5 linked regions of the Daphnia pulex genome follow. The protein of the gene in region 4 interacts with the protein of the main gene of each other region in a pairwise test. Links are inferred from orthologs where the notes say so. Each region holds a gene or a part of one and is shown on either strand. Other genes may lie near its edges.

Region 1 (3,833 bases), on a different chromosome or scaffold from region 4:
AGGAGGTGCACATCCCTGGGGCATTCTTAGATGCGTGAGTTACGAGGATGACGCGAAACTTATTCAGCGGTAACTAAAAGAATATCCGCTGGCATTTTCGTTTTTGTCTATTCCAACCGATTATATCGGTGTTTGTTTGTGTCGCAACAATGGCATTCTTTTAGCAAAGCCAAGTTCAAACATTTCCGTATTTTCACGGAGAATTAGACGATTCGAGGTTCTTCGTGGGGGAACGTTTCTTGTCATTGAACTTGGCAAATTTGGCTACGGATCATCATTATGCTGTATTTTTACCGTATTTGGTATAAATTTTTTTGTTGGTAATGTGGCGTTTGACCGCTATGCCATCACAAGCAAACAATAAGAAAAATGAGCGAGATGTGCAATAATTCTCGTCAAATTGTACCACTTTCGCTATTATGCACGGTTCATGCTAATTGCGACTACTGGCAATTTCAAATGTAGAAAGACACGATTGTTCTTCAGTCATTAAAGAATGACCACCAGGTTTGAAGCGTGCTGTAATTTCAGCACGTTTATTTTCGAAAGAAACTAGGATATGAGTAGACGACTTTAAATATGAAGGTAAAACATCGCACGTGATTTACTACAGCGTTTAGCAAAAATGTCCAGCGGTTCATAACGCAGCGATGGCATCCATTTTTTGAATTTTTCGTGACTGTCTCCGGGTGAGTTCGCTGGCACCAGTGAATCTAACACTTTCCAGGCGAAACATTTCCAGGAGATAAAAGCTAAAGAAAAATTTTTTTTCTAAAAAATTGTCCCTTCACTTTTGATAAATGCATCGCTCATTTTCCCGCCATCCCTAATTACATATTCCCATTCTGGTCGTCATCCACCTGTATGGTCCTTTTGTCCACGCATCTGTTCATTCGCACGCCAAATTATTTACCGGCCCATGAAACCTTAAAATAGTTTTAGATTTTTCCAAGGATCCCACTACGTTTCCCTTTTGATGGACTTGAAACATGAACATTACCGCCCATCGTCAGAGTTCTCTTTGCAATCGTAATCACTTTTTTTCATCGTCTTCACCAATGGGGGTTCCTATAAATAACGCTTTCACTACTCAAAATGGTCTTTTCTTCAGGGGAATGAACGCTCCTTCCAGTAAGCGTCTAATTTCTTTCAAGTGTCGTTTCCAAAGGTATTCGACGCCCCCCATCGTCACAATTTTCTTCATACTCACATTCTGTATAGTCTGCTCAGAAACCGACCAAAGTCCCAAACCAATAATACTCTTGGGGAAATATGAGAAACTATTTTATGAAAAAAAACCTGTTGAACTTCGTTATACAAAGAAAAACAATGCCGCTAATTGCGTATTTTAAAAAAGGAGGTTCTCCACATACTACAACGACATCTAGTAATAGTTGGAAACAACTTGCAAATGAAATTTGGATGCTGTTCATTTCAACCTTCGAACCAGTCGCCGGTTCTCAGGAGTTTTTGGCTCGTCATTGTCATTTCTAGACTTGTTTGTCTCGTTATCAATTGACAATTGCAATGGCAGTTTTGCAAACAATGGCTACGACTCGAGAAGTTTTCGAGAATATTGCCATCGGTAAGTTTGATCAATGCAGACTGTAATACCGAATTATCATGCTGAATTTTATACATGTTTAGATCCGATGGAAAGTGGAGACATCAACGATGAAGAAGCCATCCGCAATAAAGAGTTGGAGATCATGGAATTGGGAGAAAAATACAAGAAAGAGAAAAAGGCTGCAGAATTGGCTCAACTAATCCGAGATGTCAGACCTTTTCTTGCCATGATCAGCAAAGCGAAAGCTGCCAAACTTGTTCGTGGTCTTGTTGATCTCTTCCTTGACATGGAAGCCCAAACAGGAACTGAAGTCCAGCTCTGCAAAGTAAATATGAACAAATCATTGTCAGATCTGGGATTCAATAGTTTTCTAACCAAATCTTATTCTCTTATTTCATTTTCAATTGTAGGAATGCATTAACTGGGCTGTTGAACAGAAGGGAACATTCCTTCGTCAGAGTTTAGAAGCCAGGTTGATTGCCCTCTACTTCGACACCAAACAGTATAATGAAGCATTACTATTAGGGGCAACTTTACTGAAAGAGTTGAAGAAACTGGATGACAAGTATCTCCTTGTTGAAGTAGGGTGATAAATTTTATTTTATTTTCCCTTACTCATCCAGTTGTTTGATTGATTTCTTCAGGTTCAGCTATTGGAATCGAAAACCTACCATGCCCTCTGCAATTTGCCCAAATCCCGTGCTGCATTAACTTCTGCTAGGACCACAGCAAATGCTATCTATTGCCCTCCAAAACTTCAAGCTGCACTAGACCTCCAATCTGGAATTCTACATGCTGCCGATGAACGTGATTTCAAAACAGCCTACTCTTACTTTTACGAAGCTTTTGAGGGTTATGACAGCATCGATTCCCCAAGGGCTGTTACGGGTCTTAAGTACATGCTTCTGTCAAAAATCATTTTGAACACGTGAGTAATTGGTGATCAATTCAAATTCAAGAAATTTTTAATTATCTTTCCATTTCTTCCATTTTATTAATAGGCCAGATGATGTGCAGAATATTCTGAGTGGAAAATTAGCCTTGCGTTATGCCGGTCGGGAAGCCGAAGCCTTGAAAGCCATTGCACAATCAGCAATTAAGCGATCGCTAGCCCAGTTTCAACAGGTATGTTCAAACTTTTAGCAATAAATGGTTCTAGTTTAACATAAAATATAATGATTTCAGGCCCTGGAAGACTATCGCGCCGAATTAGTAGAAGACCCCATCATCAAGGCACATTTGGAGTCGCTTTACGATACCATGTTGGAGCAGAATTTATGTCGAATCATCGAGCCTTATTCTCGTGTCCAGGTATTTAATTCATTCAATAAAGCGTTAGTTTTTTAAATGTATAAATCCACATTGAATTTTAAAGGTATCACACGTCGCCCGAATTATTGCCCTGCCGGTTGATCAAGTGGAAAAGAAGCTGTCGCAGATGATTTTGGATCGCAAGCTGTCTGGCATTCTCGATCAGGGTGATGGTGTTTTGATCATCTTCGAGCCTACCCACACCGACTCCACTTACGAGGCGGCGTTAGACACAATCCAGAACCTCGGCAAAGTGGTGGACACATTGTATCAGAAAGCCAAGAAACTGACATAACTTGTATACATAATCTGCGAGAATCATCAGATAAAAGTGTCGGGGAGGTAATTTTTAAATATTATTTCCATCACTTGTATGTTCCAGTAAAACATCAAACCTCGAATTGGGACTTGGGACTACCAAGAGAAAATAAAAATAATTCTTTTTCCTACATTAAGTTAAGATTACATTTTATTCAAATTTGTTCTCTTACTTTAAACCAACAAAACAGGCACTGTTAATGGGGAAAATTCATCACACAACATGGCATCATTATGCTGATACTAATTAAAACAATATTTGATCTACATTTCCGACTAAAAAAAAATCGCAATTAATTCATTATTGCTCGAATAGATATGTCACAAATGTGTGTGTGTGTGGGGGAATGTATCACTGTACAAGTATAATATTAATTAGTCGTATATAACTATTGGCTTTCAAAGATAAATCAGTGGTGGGTAACGCTTTCAAATGCAACAAACAAATTATTTTACGTCCCCACAAATTCTAATGGAAGGATGTGTGTCGACTAAATTAAATATCAAATTGTCACAATTGCGATTTCCTAGAAACATATTGCAAAACGGGGGGAGAAAAACAACTGTCGCGAAGGTTGTTGTAAATATTATTTGGTCAATTTTGTTATCAATGTTCATCACGCTACGATATGGACGT
Region 2 (4,296 bases), on a different chromosome or scaffold from region 4:
TAAAACAAACGTACTCGTTGGATGTCTTGGAAAGCACGGATCAACAGCTGCACCAAACGAGTAATAACTCCTTGTTCTCGCAGCGGAGCGTGGTTAGCAGGGCATAAAGCCAGATTACGAACCAACCCGATCAGAGCTAAACAAAAATGGTAATTATGAGACATTTTAAAAGACAAACTTGCTATAATGATACATACCCTTGATGAGTGGCCAACGAGAGGGGGGTTGCAATAAACGGACAATGACGGGCAGTCCACCACTAAGACGAACAGCATTTTGAGCCATTTCAGCTTCAGCGTGACGTGATGTCATGTGACGCAGAGCACATATCTGTAATTAATGGATTTTGTAAGAACCAACACGTTTGTCATTTTAAAAAGATGGATATATTACGGCAGGTTCGGTGATTTCTTCACGATCGCCAGCATGAATAATGGTGCGAACCAGCGCTTCGATACCACCGACTTGACACACAACAGTCTTGTTGCGTTGGTTGTTGCAAGTCAAGTTAGAGAGAATTCCGGCAGCGCAAGTGATTACGTTAACATCACTAGAACCTAACAACTGAACAAGTCCTTGAAGCAGGGTTTCTAAACCTTCTTGCTGTAAGAGAAAAATAAAGGTATAAGCATTGTCCTTAAGATAGGAGCAGAACATAAAATAATTTTTCTTTTAGAAGATAATCACCTGCTTGGTCGCAGCATCGGAAAGATTGCGGCAGGTCCATAAACAGTTCTGAACTAGGCGATGACTTTGGTGGCCCAAGTGCATTGCCAACGCTTGCATACCTCCAGCTTCAACAATAGCTGGTTTGTTGCTAGAACAGACCGACAGCACTGGGAAAAAAATTTATAAATAAATCACGTACATTAAACATTACGGTTTTTATAAATTACCTTTCAAAACTCGTGAAGTGGTCCACAGCAGCTTTTCGTAAGTATATGACCGAAGAATTCGAACAAGTTCCATCGGCCCCTGTGAAGCTAAAATGATCAACTTGGATTCTTGATTGCCATACGCCAGAATTTGAAGACAATCAGTAACGATTGCCAAGAATTTGACATTGTTGCGCTGAAGGAGAGCAACCATCTTCTGTAAACCACCCGCCAAACGAACGGCCATTTTTGAGCCTTCTTGATGGAGCAGCAAGTTGTGCAGCGTCGTGATAGCATAAAAAAGAACGGATTCCACGGGCGAGCTTTTCGAGATGACAAAAAATAAAAATAAGTAACGTTTGAAGAAAGCCGTCAGTTCGGACACATGAAGGATGAGACGGGACAATACCTCAACAGCTTCACCAAAGCTGGAATTCCCCCAGATTTAAAAATAGCCAACAATCCTTGGCGGTGATGTGATAGGTTGTGCAGGGTACCAACGGCACCTTTGGTTGTTTCCAGGTCATTGCTATTGGACAGTGCTCGAACGAGAGCCGCAATCATCTACGATCAAACGGATATGCATTATGAACTTGGAAAATAATTTTAAAAGAAGTGTAACACAGAGTAATAATAAAATCATAGAAACTTTGGTTGCCTGTGGGCTATTCATGATAGCATGGCGGGACGCTTCCTTCTTGGACAACTGGTGAACCATCATGGCAGCATGAGATACGACAACTTGATCTTCATCGTTCAACAACTTGATCAGTTCGGGAATAGCTCTTGTAGCTAGATCAGCATCATCCTACCAACCCAAATATTATTACTTTAAGCAGTTCAAAATTTTGAATTTCAGCAATAATACCTGATAGTTGATCAAATTAACAACGGCATGTTTCAACATTTGCGACGGTTCGGCTAAACGCTGAACAGCAGTTGGCTGTGTGGTATCAAACTGAGTAGATGGAATTTCCATTCCTTCATCCAGTGTCTCTGGAAACATGGCAGCACGAATACGCTGGGAGCGAGTCTGGTTTAACTGAGCATTCATGTCTGTAACAAAGTATTTGATTAAAACATATACCGCAATAAGAATCAAAAATATTTTATTGTTTACCTTCAACTTGGTCTTGAGTATAACCAGCTGAATAGCCACTTGATCCACCCATGTTAAGCATGACTCCTCCTTCAGAAGTATCCATATCATCATCACCACCTCTTCCAGAGAGTGATGGGGCCTAAGAAGTAAACATTTAGTTCGAAAGGTTACCTTCACTCGCACAATTCACTCAATATTTACCTGAGTGGTTGCCCCACTTTGGATTCCTGAATCTCCTACATATCCAGGTTGCCCAACTCCTTGCCACATCAATGTATGTTCCTTAACGCTGGGCATAGGAAGATCAGCAGGGCTATTGCTAACATATTGCCCATGTGACACTATACATACAAATTAAAGAGTTATAATAGATTTAATGAAAAATTTTAATTTAAAAAAGCTCATACTTGGCCTCCCTTGTGCCTGCATCTGATAACTCATGATGCGGCTGTGTATCGACGACTTTGCGACGAGATAACCTTAAATAAAGAAACGAGGGTAAGAACCAGGGCTAACAAAGTGTCGCAACTATGATGAAGTAAACTGCGTGTTTGACTGTCACTTGAGATTTCGACACAGTAAAAAGCCATTCAAAAGTCGAGAAAATTGTTGTTTGCTTTCGAAAAACATTTTAAGTGTAATTTTAAACAATTTAAGGTCACATACCTTTGGAATTTCGATTTGGTGACAAGAGATTAACAGAGCCACACCTGCCACAATCAGAAAACAAGGACCTGCTTCGTTCTGAAGTACTGACGCGTCTAAAAAGCCCTTAAAGATGGCGGCCATCAGCTTGAAACGGAACTATTTTTTTGGCGTTTTCTGTTTTTCTATGGTAAACCAATAAAACCAAAAACATTTAAATATAGCTTGAAATTACGTATTTAATGTGTTTTATTCCAAAACAAAAAAAAATAATAAAACAAATATTTGTGGGAAAGTCCAATAATATTTTAGAATATTTTTTAAAATTTCTAGCGTAGGAATACATAGCTAGTTTCCCCTGCCCGTTTGTCCAGACGGAAAGAGTGGGAGGGGAATAAAAAAAAGTTTCAAGTTCGGAATGACTCACAAATACCATTGAACAAATGATAAAAAAAAGTGCATTGCTTCTCAAGCAGGTTTTTAACCTCTTCCTTTTTTAATTACCTAGATACAGCTATGTAATAAATAGGTTGGCATTTCAGGGGTAGGGAGCCGTGGATTGCTGTCGATTGGCTAAAGAATAAATCGCCGCAATATGAAATTTCGGTTTTTGTACTTTTTTCCCGATATGCAGCAATGAAAAAAACAAAAGTTCGCTTGCTCGCTTAAGATTACATTAACTTCTTCACCTTTTCCAAACTTTAAATGAAATTCATGTAATGACTTCAAGTATAATGTCAAGTAAAAGTGCCCCATAAATCACATACAAAGAGTGTGAAAGGAATCAAAAGTCTTCGTTACCATGCACACCTGCTTTTTTGTGTGCTAGGAACGACTTCAAACTTTTTTAACCCAAAGAGCTTCGACGGAAACTTAGTCGTTTGGCATTGTCAAAAATATCAACTCGTTTATTGAACAAAAAACGGACATATTAAGGCTGTCAAATTTCTCTGCAGGATGTGCCGTTTTTTTTTTTTTTTAATCTATTCTAGATCTAGTCCTTCGATACTTTATATTGACTTATTATTGCACCGCAATGGTACCGATAGCTAATAAATTTCCCGGCTCATTTTACTGTTAAAGAGTCCAAAGTAACTTGTAACTTTACGATACCATTTTCTGCAACAATCGTCTTAAAAGATATTAAAGGTTATTGGTCAACACTATTTTCAGTGTATATTTCCAAATCATTTTCTTTACAAGGCTGAATTTATACAGCAACATTTTCAGTTTTGTTTTTGAATGGAAAGATTAGTGCTGCGTCCATTTGATACTTTTCAAATCAATCCCTTCTTGGACCATTTCCCAAAGAGGACTAAAAGTGGAGAAAAAACATAATTAACATTTTTAGCAGAAATGAAGGAAGTTATTTGTCGGGGAATTCCAGACCCGGGTTACGGTTCGACTTCTTCGAATTCGGTATTTACCTCATTTCCCGAAGTTTGGTGACTTGATGAATACACTTTTGTGCGGTGTAATCAACCTCAGCTTCGGTGGTGAATCGCCCAATTCCAAATCGAATAGAAGAATGCGCCAAATCTTCTTCAGCGCCAATGGCCCGCAAAACATATGAAGGTTCCAGCGATGCTGAGGTGCAAGCACTTCCGCTTGATAGTGCCACGTCTTATGTAATAAAAACAAATATAGTTAAAAAGAAAGGTAGTGGAAGTTGCC
Region 3 (3,910 bases), on a different chromosome or scaffold from region 4:
AGTGCGTTCGTATTTTTAATTGAATCTGTTTATATTTAGAAGCTGCAGCTTCCAAGAGTTGTTCGGAAACTTCAAGTCCATTGCCGTCGCAATTAATGACAATTCAGCCAGCTTTTGCGAAAATTGCCGAGGTTAGAAAACCAAACGATTGAGCTTACAATTCTTATTTATCTTATCGATTTTATAGGGTATTCGAGCCAAGGTTATTGCAATGATTGAAGGCGATAAGAAATAGATGCTGCTGTGCTCTAAATGAGAAGTAGGCGACGTTTTATTCGATTCTCCCGTTACATCGAAATAAATAAATTAATAATTTTTTTTTTTGTTTCCACCGAAGCCGTTTCGACTTACTTAATGAATAAATGAATTCAATTTGCTGGATTTGTATTTATTTTTTTTTTATTTTGTGTGTGTAATAATCAATTAATTTTAAAAGAGTGAGAAATGAAAAAAAAATCACTTTTTCATTGTGCTAATAGAATATGGGATATTTGCGACACTTTTGTTTTGTGTTTGTTTGATTATTCAACGTGAAAATAATACAATTATATCAACAGGGAGTGCGGAGCGAAGGCACGTGATGCGGCATACCCCTTTTGACTAGAGGGAATACACGAAAGAAAATAAAAAAGGGACAACGAAGAAAATAAGGCGAGAATTTTTAAAACAGTTTGTTCGCATTAGGATTTCCAGTGAGTGAGGTCGAGCCAGGGCTTCCCATCATCAAGTGATGAGGGCCATTCTGGAACATGGAAGAAAAGTGCATCATAGGAATCAAAGGCAAGTGGTGAGGCCATCCGGTCAGCCTCGGAGCAAACACAGAAGAATAAGGACTGAGATGGTGGTGATGCTGATTTGCCATCCACGGATGGATGGCTGGATGAAGATGGTGAAAGGATGACGGCTGATGATGTTGCATTTCAGGTCGGAAAATGATGGGTGCCGGGCTGGTTGTTTCTCCCACTAGGCGAGCGATTGAAAAGTTGGTGGGTGAACCTTTGATGGGCGATGACGACGAAACTGTCAACGAAGGTGGCGGAGTGACAGGATCCTGGAGGACTCCGGGCGCTGTTGGTGGATTGCATTCGTCGTCGGTGATGTTGAGTGATGAATGAGAGCTTGAAGCGCTGCTCGGTCGAGATTTTTTACGGTTTTCTAAACGAATCAAGACACGAGTTTAATACAACGGGTTCCGTTTGAAATCGAGCAGGTGAATCAATGACTTACCAGGTGAACTGTCTCTCAATTGTCGCTTTTTCACTCGAAGCTGGCCGTTTTCACGGAATCCCTTGGCGAACGGGTTATTATCGATTTTCAGTTGCGTCATTCGATCGTTCTAGAAATCCAATAGAATAATCGTTATTGATACGTTCGTAATTGAATTTTTCCGACATTTAGAACTTACAGCGTAGGCGGTGACGGCGATGAAACTGCAGACGTTGAAAGCCGCGGTGTTGATGGTCGTAGGCATTCCCCAATGGAGGCTTGCGTAATCGGAAGCTGCGATGACGTGGATTCGTGGAACGTACTTGTGCATCGAGGTGAGAACCAACTGTATAGGTTAAAAATTAAAATTGTCCGTTAATACCCGAGTCGCAATTAATGTGTGACGAAATGATCAATTAACTTACGTGGCCTTGCTGATCCATGGTGTTGTTGGTCAATTTGACTTTTTGGAATGAGATTTCGTGTTTCATCCACTGAGCTCCGGTGGCAGGACTGTCCGGGTGGGTGTAAATCCTCGACGGCCATTGTGGTTCTGCCTTGCCGGAACGAAGCCATCCGGCGTTGAAACGGAATCGAGAATCATCAGCCAGGACTAAATCCAACAGGACAAAGTATTTCGTGTTGGGATCCAATCCGCTCAAGTTGACTTTCAAAGTCGGAAACATCCGTCTGATTATTTTCAAAGGAAATCAAAAGTTGGATTAGAGAAACAAATTCGCCCGATTGATGGATTGATTCACGCACCTTCCCAACTTTGTGATGATCATTTCCGTGCCGATCTGATGGAATTGTTGCCACAATTCGGCGTTTTCCAATTCAATTTTGATGTTGGGATCGGATTTGACGGAAGCGGCGGCTGCCAAATGGCGATGGGCCATCATCGCAGCTGCCGACGCACTGTGATGAGCTGCCGCCGACGGAGGAAGTTGATACGGTGATCCAGCGCTACCAATCGGTGGCAATTCTATTGTTTCGAAAGGGAGAAAGAGAAAAACGGAGAGTTGAACGAACGAACCCACCAACAATTTCTTCTTCTTCACTACCCAAATGCAAAACGAAAACATACCGTAAGGTCTCCGTTCATTTGGGAATCGATTTCCGGCCGCATGGATTGCCAATTGCTGAAGCTCATCTTCTCGACTCACGGCCGACGATGCCAATTTAGCCGCATCCATGATTTAATGGCTTTGTACTTGTTGGGTTCTAAACTCACAATCAACTGTGCACACACAAAAACACAAGCACACAACACTCTGTTAAGTGTCTTGGAGTGGACACACTGATAATGGGCCAGCAAAAAGTTGTTATTCTTATTTTTCAAATAGTGAAGACGCACACACAACGCGACCGCACTGGACTGAGATACTTGAACGACTGATGCTGAAGAGTGAAGACGACCCGATAGATATCATGTTTTATTTCCCAGTTGCTTTTTCGCAAGTCCGTACGAGTGGAGACGGATCGTCGCGCTGGCTCCGGAATTGTGTGCTGGCCATAGCCCTTGGGTGGGCTGCCAAAGAGAGAGAGAGACCCTGGTTCGCCATTGGTCGCCTCCCCAATTTCGGGCCTTCCTCTTCTCTTTTCTTATTCATTCCATCCATTTTCCGAACCCCCCAATCCGCTTTTTATTATCTCTCGGCCATTCAAGTCTTGATGCCTTGATCCCTCCTCCTCCTCCTTCATTCGGTCGTCGTCTCTGCGTTCAATTCTTTTCTTTCAATCTTTTATCTTTTATCTAATTATCACCATCTGCTGCTGCCTTTCCACATAGAGAGAGAGAGATTGCTACTATCCATCTTTCTTTCCGTGTGCCATTTTTGAAAATAAAAAATACTATAGACATGTATGGGATGTGTAGTACTTTCAATGTCGCAGGCCTCTTTTGTCCACCCACTTATTTACCCCATTTTCTTTATATGCACAGCCAAACTGCTGATCCAGCCATGGATACGTCTGGCATGTGTATCCGAGTGCCGCCGCCAGCCTCAGCCCGCTTTTGCTTTAGATGCGCGCGATAAACCGCATCCACCTATCCATTTGCTTTCATTAACCCATAGTTTGTTTGTGTTTTTGTTTTGTTGTTCGATTCGCATATCGAGTGTCAATTGCCTGGTAAATGGCGAGGGTTTTATTTCTTTAAAGTGAAACGAGAACATGCGAGTTGTTCCTTTTCTTTTTGAAAAAAAAGAAGAAGAGAAACAAAAAATAAAAGTCCGATGGGAACCGATCGGCTGGCGCCATGTCCACCAGCTTGTATCTTCTTATATATAGCTTCTTCTTCTTCTCCTACCTTGTTGAAAATGAGAGATAATCCACTCAGTCACGCTTCAAGGTTTACCGCAAAATTGGCCAGGGTTTTTCAATTGAAAACAAAAAAAAAAACAAGATGATATAGCCAGAAAAAAAGAGACACAATCTCGAAATGATAAGAGAGAGAAAGAGACGGAACCCCGAAATCATCATCCATCCCACCGCTTTCACGCGACAATCGACGATGACGGACCGCGGTTGAGCCTACAGGCGTGTCTTGTTTCCAGCCCCTCGACACAACGGCGACATAACCAATGTGGGGGGTTGACGACACAACGGAATGGATGGAATCATTTGCCTGTGGGCGGCAATCATCAAATAATGACACGGAACCGTATACAGACAAGAGTCCCCCTCTCCAAAATTATATGGA
Region 4 (5,538 bases):
AAAAAAAAACAACACGTAAAAAGCAAAAGAATAATAATAATAAAAAAACAAACGGCAAATAAAATAAAACGACGGTGTACATATTGAATGTAATGGCGTCCATTTCAGCCGCCGTGATGACTCTAAATAGCATAGTCGTTGATTCCTTGGCGAACGGTAGCGCTTGAAAAATAAAAGGGATAAAAGAAAGAAGAAGAAGAAAAAAGGGAACCGTCGTAAAGATGATGATGATGACGCCATCGACCATACAAGAAGAAGAAGAGAAAAGAGCCAGCCAAAGTTACACACACACACACACACATCCAGCAGCAGCAGCGGGGGGCTTTTTTCTGTGTTGAAGTATCTCGTTCGGGATAGGATCGTTTCGTCGAGTCTTTATATACACACAGACACTTGCACGGTGCCTGCCCTCATCAAAATGACCCTAATAACTTGATTGAATTGCGCATAAACATCAAGTCGAATAGGCCATCAAAAGCCCTCGGAAAAAAAAGAACCATCTCTTCTCTTCTAGCAGTGGCTCAGACTATATCACGGCCGGCTCTCGACACACCATAGAAAACGCGTGTAACACACACACACACACACACACATTTTTTATTATTATGATGATGATTATTTTGTGTTTGTGTTTCCTTTTTTTTTCTTTTAGTTTTGGTTACACCGTCGCCGTCGTCGTGATTGCTGAATCACATCCGATGTGTTTTATAGACAAACAACACAACTCCTGCCGCTGTGAAAATGGCCCATTGCTGATATTGTTATTGCCCATTTGGTGGTTTTGTTATAGAAACGGACGTTTTATTTATTTTTTTTCTTTCTTTCAACTCACACAACAATCAAGAAGAACTTATCCATCAATCCAAACGGGCAATTCAACACAACAACGGCCTTCACACAGCATTGGTTGACAAATAACGGCAGCAGCTCATTCCTGTTCATCATTTCCCAACGAGAGAAAGACACGAAGCAGAGAGAAAAAAACAAAAATACAGCGATAGCAATTGTAACTTGTAATTGTCTTGAATTTTCTTTTGGCATGACAAGATGCAATTGTAAAAAAAAGAGAAAATACAAGGAGTCATAGATTACTTTCTATATTTATTATTTTGTTTTTCCTTCCCCCTCAAATTAAAGTTGCTGCACTGAAAAAAATCAAATAAAACATAACCAGTGCGGGTTATGTAGGCCTCCCAAAATGTTTCAACTCAAATTCTTAACTCTCTCTCCGGCTGTATTCGAAGGCCGAATCCAAGTTGTAAAAAAAAATAGGGGGGACGACACATCCAGCAGACTTTGTGTGTAAGCTTAATACTACGTGTCTTATATTTTAGGCCTAGAAAAGCGACAAGAGTTTGAAAAAAGGGGGGGCTGGATAGCGGATCCCCACCAATATAACCCCTTGTATAAAATCTACCAAGAGAGCGAGAGAGAGAGTGGTGGTGGTATATTCATATATTGGATTCCTATGGGCCTTCCCTTAAGAGTTATACAATCTCTCCTGTTATTGGGAAAGAAACCTTTTTTCTTTCTTGTGTATTGCGCTGGATATATATAACCCCAAAAAGAAGAGAAGGATGGAACATAAAAATTGAAGGCAAGAAGAAGAAGAAGAAGGAAAGAAAAGGGACAGTCTTGGCGGCGGATAACTGCTCTAAAACGTAACCCTTATCTCTTTTCTCTTGGGTCTCCCCCCGAAAAAACAACCATGGGTTGGGCGCAACCGGCACATACACACACACACATAGTGCGCATACACACACACACCATATAGGCCCTGGCCAATTTTTATTTGGGGTGGGCATCCTCCTCTTCCCAATAAAACGCGGAGAAGAGCAAAGAAGCCAAAGAGTCGTAAAAAATGCATATCCCTTCTTTGACTCTGTGTGTCCTTCGACCCTTTTATACACGTATATATACATCTATCCTATCCGTGTGGCTATGCAAGAGGTCCCCCCCGATATCACCCGTTTTTCTTCCGACGCAACACCCGACTGACCCCCCAATTCTTCGCAATATAACCGTCACAGACTCACACAGCCGAAGACGAGGGGGTAAAAACTTCTCTAGCTGGAAAGAGGGGGTTATAAAAAAAAGAACGGCTGTAACAATTTCCTTCGGAGTATAACCCCAATAACATCTCCAGCATCTTTGTATAACTTTCCCCACCAGAAGAAGAACTGGAAGAAGAAATAGAAAAAAGGACACGCCACATTCTTGAGCGACTCCTCCTTGATCGGCCGTGGCATGTCCTTCTCACAATCACATCAGTTCCGACTCTGAGGCTTGACCGATCACAATGTTTTGAGCAGCTCGATCACAGAGACATTGTCCTTCAAAAAAATCAAAGTCAAAACCCGATCGAAAAAAAGTTTCGTTGCCCATTCCGTCCATCTGATGGACTCGCAGACAGTGGAGCGCTGTCCGTCCAGCAGCGCTTGACGACACAGTAGTTAGTTAATAGCTAGTCTCAATATATAACCCAGTCAGTGAGTTGGTGATCGTTCAGGTGCAACTAGAAAAAACCCAACAAAAAACAACAACGTTGGACATCCGAAAATATTTCGTCGCAATCATTATCGGCATCCATCCATCCATCCGTCTGGCTCCCACAAGTGCGGACCTTGTTACCTTTTTTCGTGCGTGTGTTGTGTGAGTGTGTGTCTGTGTTTCGAGGCCTCCAGAAAAGAAAAAATTGTTGAGGTAGTCGAGAGAGAGAGAAAGAAAGAGAGAAAGAGGAGTCGAAAATTGCGAGTTTCCTGTCTGTTGGTTGAGCGGAAAGTGCCGGGCCGATGACGACGCCGAAGGACGGCCATTTCCACGCCCGACGCCAACGGATTACGCAAACCGCGACTACTCCCTCCTCCTGCTCCGCCGCCGTCTTCTTCTCTCTTTCTCCTTATTTTATCGCTTCATTTCCACAAGAGATTCGGCAAAAGAAAACGCAACTAAGAGCCGCAAAAAGTCCTGGGTGAGTTCACAGTTCTTTTTATCCTCCTTTTAAAAAATAATTTCCCGCGCTAGTCATACATTAGCGAATAACCTTATCGCCAAACTCCGAGCGATTGGCACCGACCAATAGATTGACTCTCAAAACAGCAGTTGGATCGTCGATTTCAACACAGTTACAAATTTTTCAAAAACATTTTTTGGGTGGTTTTTAAAAGTTAAAAGGGACTCGGCGGCGATGTTCAAGGAGCCTCCCAGGAGTTGTAGGCCTAACGCTAAAGGCGGCGGTTCAAATGGCTAATAAAAAACTTTTAAAAAGCACTTTGTGACGAATTGTGCCCAACTGTTTACCCCAAAACACATTACAGGCCTATCATTCTTCACCATTTTCTCTCTCTCGAAAAGTCAACTAACGATATACTATATATTTGTTGATTCAATTTGTTGGTATCGAGAATAACCGCTGAAACGCTTCGAAAGATCATTAGGAGCCCCCCTCACCGAAATAGGCCTAAAGGTCACCGTATAGGATATACTATCTAGTCTGCGCATACATGTAGCCTACTAAAAACCGACTTGGATAAATCATTCTTGGTAATAGCAGCAAGCCAGCACACGCGTATTGATGATTGTTTTACTTTTTATTTTATTTTTTCCCGGGGAATAACGAAGAAAACAAACTGCGGTCGATGTTTTTTTTTTGTTTTTGTTTTTTTCTCTTCTTCTTCCTCCGTTCGTGACTATTGGTGCGAGTTTTTTTTTTGGGAAGCCAGCGTCGGCATAACGAAGTATTTATCCCTTTTTATTTTTTTGCCCGTCTTTCCTTTCTTCTCCAACTTCTCTCCCAGTGACTTTCGGTTGGTGTCGACTCACGACGCCCAAATTACGTGTGTAGATTAGAGAAGAGACGACACACAAACAGACAAACACAGACACAGCGGCGCGCAAAGTCAAGCCAAGTATGCCGCGTGAATGTTATATAGGACCGGACGGGGTGGAGCGGCGGCCGCAAGAGAAGAAGAAAAAAACCAAACCAAACAAAAATGACTCCAGTAGAGTGAAAAGAGAGCGCCCAGCAACGTCGACGGCTATACTAAAACCTACACTTCTCTATACGCATAAGAAATATCAGTAATATGTAATTTAGTCAGAGCTGCTGCTGCTGCTGCTGGCTGCCCAATTTCTTGCCGTCTTTACGCACAAGTCGCGTTTCGTAACAACATTACACAACGGCGGCGGCGGCGGTTCCATTTCCCACACACGGCCCCAACAGTCCGTGTTTTCTTTTTCCTTCTCATTTAAATGACCAAATAAATAAATACATGTTGACTGAAATGTATATCCACATCGCGATGTGCATATATACTCGAGTAGTATACATACAGCCAGAGAAATATGCGTGTTAATGCTTCCAGTATATACATACGTACGTATATATACTACATATACTCAGAGCGTACGAATATAATCATGATAATTATCTGGGCGTCGTCGACTTCTTCTTCTTCAGTTCGGTGGCTTCGACGTGGTGGTGTTTGTCTACTCTACGACATCTAATACAGAAATCTTATAGCTACTGCCTAGCCAGCCCATAACTACACATGTGTACAGTTGGGATATATACTTGCTAGTGGCCTACTATTTCTACCATTTCCGCCGAAGCTCGCTAGCTCTCAATGACTGCACTGTTTATTCTTCTTCTTCTTGTATAGTTCCTCACATCCGGCGCGTGAGGTCGGGAGGGGGGATATGCTATCTGGAAAATGTTATACATAACGTCAAACTGAAATCATAATAATCATAATCATAATAATAATAGGCCGTATACTAAATACATAAAATATAATGAATTGCGGGGGCCGTGATCAGGGCTGCGTGAAGCTGCCGGGACACGCGGAAAATAGAAAAGAAAAAAAAACAAGAGTCCCATAGCTATGGGAGCCGAGTAGAAGGCAGAAGACGAGAGTTCCGTTCCGCAGATATAACTACGGATGGTTTCCTTGTCTCCATAAATATTTCCCAAGTCGAAAGAAACAGAGGAAGGAGTCGGAAGAGAAAGAAGAAGAAGAGCTAGGGCGATCTATCGGATGCTGCTGGCAGCAAATCAAGAAGACGACGGCGACGACGTACAGTAGTAGTGTAGTAGCACTTTGGATGACTGCCATAACACAAAGTGAAATACTTTTGTAGACATCACCGTAGGCTCAAACTGGGAAAATCTATATTTATTCAAGGATTCACATCATTTTGTTTTAAAAAAAAAAAAGAAAAGTCATGAGACAAAAATTTACAAGATTTGGACAGGAAAAAAACAAAAGTGCCGGGCGCTATATGGAAAGGTTATTCGTTTTAAGGTTGTGACCCCCTTCGAAAAAATAAAAGGTGGTCATCGATATAAACTATCTTGGATAGAGGGGATACCTTGTAACTCTAATTTCAAATTGTTTTACTAGCTATCGGCTTTTGTTTTTTTTATGGCCTCCCTTCGATTGAACCGAGAAGTTGCGTCTGATTGTGTCCTGAGCGAGAGTCGGTGAGGTACTCTCATGAGCGCCAAAGGACTCAAGGACGAAAGAGATTGTCAAAAAA
Region 5 (4,053 bases), about 1.7 Mb from region 4:
AAAAGTTCAAGGCCAATCCCAATCTACAAATGATAAAGTTAAGTTGAGGATCGGCAACAAATTGTTAGTTAAGTTACCTGATGGGATGGGTGGGGGGTAATTCCGTCATGGCAATGTCGGAGGCGGCTTTGTAAGCCATCAACGAGTTCTCTGCAGCTTCCTTTCGGTCATTTCCTGTCGCAAATTCGGCCAAATACCGATGGTAATCACCCTTCCTGTATAACACAACGACAAAAGCAGAGGAAGGGAGTTGTGTAAAATCGTCAATAATCAATACCAGGCCATCCATCCACAACATGTCTGCGCGCACACAAAGTTGCGCTTGGCGCAACGTTTACGTACGATAAAATTGTGTACACGTTTGGTAGAGATAGTAACGACACTTTTTCTTTTCTCTCAAAGCGAAACACGAGTAGAATTCGAAATCACAGACGCTCGAGTCTCAAGGACTTTGAGAGAAATCCACCGGTGCATTTAATAGGAATGTCCAACTACTACTCGCAAGATTGAAAAAAAAAAGGCCAAGCAAAAATCGATTTACATTTTGTAGTAAAAGACTTTAGATTCTCCAGTGGTGGCTGATGGGATGAGATGCTTCTCGAGGACGCTCAAAATATCAGAGCAAATGTCCTTCAGCTCTTTCTCGACCTATAGACAAAACAGATAAAGGCACAAATCAATGAATAAAATTTGAATACATTATCCATACCTGATTGCGGTAATTGCGGATGAGTTCAAGTTTATCTTCGGCTCCCTTGTTCTCCTCTTTCTGTTCAATGGACGAGATGATGCGCCAAGATGCACGACGAGCGCCGATCACATTTTTGTAAGCCACGCTCAGCAGATTCCGCTCCTCGACAGTCAACTCGACGTCCATCGACGCCACCTTTTTCATGGACTCGACCATTTCTGCATCAACAAACAGATTATCATATAGTCTTAGCCAAAGAAACTTGTCAGAGGATCCCTTTCTCTTTTGGACAGAAAAAGATAGATACACTTTCAGACATAAAGGCTTTGCCTTCTTTCCCCCCCATCTCCCTGTCTACCCCACCCCCCACACTCGAGCGACTTTTCAAGTAGCGGATCAATAACGGCCACGGGAGGAAACACGCTACCGCCTAGTTCCGCCCGCTCTCCACACATCCAGCACGTCGCAGTCGTCATATAACCCCCAACATCAGCATCCCCACGGCGGAAGGAAGGAAAAGTACAGGGGCAAACCGAGTTGACGTTACGCACACACACACAAAACTATGTGTGTCCTCTTTTTTTCTAAGGGAGGAATTGAAAAATAAAAGTTTCTCCAGCTGGGCGTACATGTTTGAATTCAGGGAAATAATAATAACCAGACGATCGAGTTGTATGCACGGACAGGCTCTCCACTTGGATTCACATCGCAGTGGCGTAATGACAGGTTCTAGGGCGACACACCCACACCGCATTTTCTCTTCTTTCCAACTTCCCTCCATCATTGAAACGTGAAGGGGGGGGGGGGGAATAAAGTTAAAAATATAAAAACTAATTTTTTTTTTCTACAACGACAAAAGGCACGAGACGCGTCACGTGCGACAACTATTTTTTCGAAAATATGTGGAAATAGAAAAACGCCCCATTCATACCAGTTGGAATATTTTCCTAAAGGAAAAAGACGAAAAATAAAAATGGTGGCTAATTTTCCATCGGGTTTCTCCGCCCACTGTCAGAGCTTGACCGATTCTTGGTTTTTGTAAGCCGCAGACAGAAGAGTCGAGAGAAAAATATAGAAGAGAAAATTAACCATCACAGGCGGCCATTGTTGTGTGAACGGTTTCCTTTTTGATGTCCTCGAGAGAGAGAGAGAGAGAGAAGCTTTTTTAGACGGCACGTTTTCATCAACGTAGCCAGGACCCCCAACGCATCACGCACATAAGGGTGGGGTACTCTACCGAGCGTCGTTTTGAAGAGATCCGTCGCCTTGGTGATGCGCAATGGTGAGAGGCCCAAGTTGAATAGAAACGACTACGTATTTTTCACGAAAAAGAGAATAAAAAAGTTATTGGAAAGCAAGTATACAAAGAGACAGTCCAAAGTCTCTGCTCTCTCTCTCTCTCTCTCATGACTCATTGATCCAAGTCATCTCGTTACGTAGCGGTAGGTTTCGAGGAAAACCACCCAGAGATACACACACACACCGGACACACACCCAGAATTACTTTTTTTTTATTTCGTACTGCGACAAAAACCCTCAAAAGAGATTCTAGAAAACATGGCTGAGATTATACTATACTTGATAAAATGGAATTGTCAGGAAAAATGAACCTCAAGTACGAGTGTCATATTGATCGAAAGTATTCAAGCCAACACTAAGAGGGGGGACGCCGCTGAATTTCCCCATTACACAACCGAATGTACAAGAAAAAAGACAAAAAGTCAAAACGTCATAAGTCTGTCAAACGCCCAAGCCTTTTTTCAAAGCCGCCTACCGTCTCGTTCGGTTTTACCCACAGAGATGCACAGTCATAGAGACACAGAGGAAATGAAACTTCATTCTTTTTTTCGATTTTACATTTAAATGACATTTACGTACCATCGTATCTTTCGGCTTGTTCGGCGAGTTTTGCCTTGTAAACGTTATCCTCTCTGTCTGCCATGGCTGCTGGAATAAACTATAAGCAGATGTCACTGGATAAAGAAACAAAAGCGAGACCGTTGGAATCGGAACCTGCCTCGAATTGTCTCGACTAAGACCAAAGAGTGTAGCTAGCAACTGAGACTCCACCGTACGCTTGCTAGAATGCTTTGCCCTGTAGCTAAAGCGGAAAATGCCAGCGAGAGTCGATGGGATGGGAAGAGGCCAGATTGCCAGATCTCGTTTCTTATTACCTATGCATCTAGCAGCGTACAGTGCTGACATCTATACAAGGCCAAACACCTTTGGGGGCTGTCTAATCTTTTAGGTATTTAATTAATTCTTATGAAATAAAACTTTTATTCAAATTTTCTATTATCCGAGTAATGACATGTTCATTCTAATCATTTGATTCTATGCATACTTTTTGTGAATTCATTATTGGATGTCTAGCAACCATCTATTTTGTTACGTAAATATTATTTTATCGTGTTTTTAAAAAGCTTCAAGTTATGAAATCAAGTCATTTTATAGTATTGAAATAATTTTTATAAACGATTTAGTTCGCTGTGGGACGATTGAGATCCCTTGGTTACAAAAGAGACAGCCGCATGGTGTCTCTAGTGGACAATTAGCAATTCAATGACTTGCGAGTTCTTTTGGCTTTTGCGGACCTGAAAGTTGACTATCGAGGAAGCCCAGACGATCCTGCCCAGACGTACCCTTGTTGGCCTTGCAGGCCTGCATTCTTCTCGATACAGCTGTCAGCTTGACCACGCCTGCCAAGCAGCGATGCCACATTCTTTTGTTTTCCTCAGTGCTTTCGAAACACCTAATGTGCTATGTGCATTGCACACGTAGAGCTTTTCCGTCAATGCCATCTCAACGCGAATTCCATTGCAACTCATGTTTATTTCATCATATAAAAACTCACCACACGAAAGTCAATAAATCTACTTCATTTAAAAACAAAGGTTTATTACTCATTCCTTGATTACATACAACATGGCACAAAGGGGCGTTCATTATCACACTTCTGACATGGCCCATGAAGGTGAAACAGAAAAAAAAATTGCATGAAAAACACTTCCATTGTCGATATCCGCCATTGCAAACAAACTCAAGAAAAATATTTTTGGCGTCATTCGAAAATCGTGCGAGTGAGGCATGTCTCGTCGTCTTTTAGTTTTTTTCTTATGAGTGAACAAATTAATACGTTAAAAATGACAAAACTTAGGGAGAAAATAAATGAAAGGTAATTCAAAGGTAATAAGGAAGTCGATTCAGTCCTTCATGCGGTTGCGTCATCATTGATTCACCAACAAGGTACGCCAACTTGTGCGCATACTGGATGGGCGCTGGAATACGCAGGGTACCCTTAAATGAACAAATTGGTTAAATTCAATTCTGAATAAAATAGACAATAAAAATAAAAAAACTTA

What was found.
Region 1: the proteins of homeotic protein ultrabithorax-like (region 4) and 26S proteasome non-ATPase regulatory subunit 11-like interact in a two-hybrid assay, tested with the Drosophila melanogaster proteins (2 studies listed by BioGRID). The link is inferred for Daphnia pulex from reciprocal best matches to the Drosophila melanogaster genes Ubx and Rpn6.
Region 2: the proteins of homeotic protein ultrabithorax-like (region 4) and armadillo segment polarity protein-like interact in a two-hybrid assay, tested with the Drosophila melanogaster proteins (2 studies listed by BioGRID). The link is inferred for Daphnia pulex from reciprocal best matches to the Drosophila melanogaster genes Ubx and arm.
Region 3: the proteins of homeotic protein ultrabithorax-like (region 4) and T-box-containing protein TBX6L-like interact in a protein complementation assay, tested with the Drosophila melanogaster proteins (2 studies listed by BioGRID). The link is inferred for Daphnia pulex from reciprocal best matches to the Drosophila melanogaster genes Ubx and Doc2.
Region 5: the proteins of homeotic protein ultrabithorax-like (region 4) and 14-3-3 protein epsilon interact in a two-hybrid assay, tested with the Drosophila melanogaster proteins (2 studies listed by BioGRID). The link is inferred for Daphnia pulex from reciprocal best matches to the Drosophila melanogaster genes Ubx and 14-3-3epsilon.

What each region holds. Positions count from the first base shown.
Region 1 is NC_060026.1:15,973,869-15,977,701, reverse strand, and holds 26S proteasome non-ATPase regulatory subunit 11-like, read left to right. Parts: upstream 1-1,407; 5' UTR 1,408-1,527; coding exon 1,528-1,585; intron 1,586-1,647; coding exon 1,648-1,892; intron 1,893-1,977; coding exon 1,978-2,148; intron 2,149-2,211; coding exon 2,212-2,495; intron 2,496-2,568; coding exon 2,569-2,692; intron 2,693-2,752; coding exon 2,753-2,878; intron 2,879-2,942; coding exon 2,943-3,173; 3' UTR 3,174-3,333; downstream 3,334-3,833.
Region 2 is NC_060020.1:4,722,842-4,727,137, forward strand, and holds the start of armadillo segment polarity protein-like, read right to left. Parts: upstream 2,801-4,296; 5' UTR 2,644-2,800; intron 2,457-2,643; 5' UTR 2,419-2,456; coding exon 2,385-2,418; intron 2,319-2,384; coding exon 2,179-2,318; intron 2,117-2,178; coding exon 1,996-2,116; intron 1,932-1,995; coding exon 1,744-1,931; intron 1,684-1,743; coding exon 1,525-1,683; intron 1,440-1,524; coding exon 1,285-1,439; intron 1,199-1,284; coding exon 897-1,198; intron 837-896; coding exon 688-836; intron 604-687; coding exon 394-603; intron 331-393; coding exon 198-330; intron 137-197; coding exon 15-136; intron 1-14. Other genes in the region: cysteine desulfurase, mitochondrial-like, read right to left, coding at 3,874-3,937, 4,050-4,245. UniProt on the Drosophila melanogaster protein: Isoform neural may associate with CadN and participate in the transmission of developmental information. Can associate with alpha-catenin.
Region 3 is NC_060017.1:3,031,733-3,035,642, reverse strand, and holds T-box-containing protein TBX6L-like, read right to left. Parts: upstream 2,619-3,910; 5' UTR 2,403-2,618; coding exon 2,294-2,402; intron 2,192-2,293; coding exon 1,972-2,191; intron 1,897-1,971; coding exon 1,632-1,896; intron 1,553-1,631; coding exon 1,406-1,552; intron 1,337-1,405; coding exon 1,228-1,336; intron 1,156-1,227; coding exon 662-1,155; 3' UTR 501-661; downstream 1-500. Other genes in the region: hypoxia up-regulated protein 1-like, read left to right, coding at 40-131, 188-235.
Region 4 is NC_060024.1:12,334,227-12,339,764, forward strand, and holds the start of homeotic protein ultrabithorax-like, read left to right. Parts: upstream 1-2,211; 5' UTR 2,212-2,971; intron 2,972-5,538. UniProt on the Drosophila melanogaster protein: Sequence-specific transcription factor which is part of a developmental regulatory system that provides cells with specific positional identities on the anterior-posterior axis. Binds the consensus region 5'-TTAAT[GT][GA]-3'.
Region 5 is NC_060024.1:10,588,760-10,592,812, reverse strand, and holds the start of 14-3-3 protein epsilon, read right to left. Parts: upstream 2,801-4,053; 5' UTR 2,634-2,800; coding exon 2,570-2,633; intron 910-2,569; coding exon 710-909; intron 649-709; coding exon 542-648; intron 216-541; coding exon 78-215; intron 24-77; coding exon 1-23. Other genes in the region: piwi-like protein Siwi, read right to left, coding at 3,872-3,988. UniProt on the Drosophila melanogaster protein: Positively regulates Ras-mediated pathways. Acts downstream or parallel to Raf, but upstream of nuclear factors in Ras signaling. Three mutants have been isolated, that suppress the rough eye phenotype caused by mutated Ras1 (sev-Ras1 v12).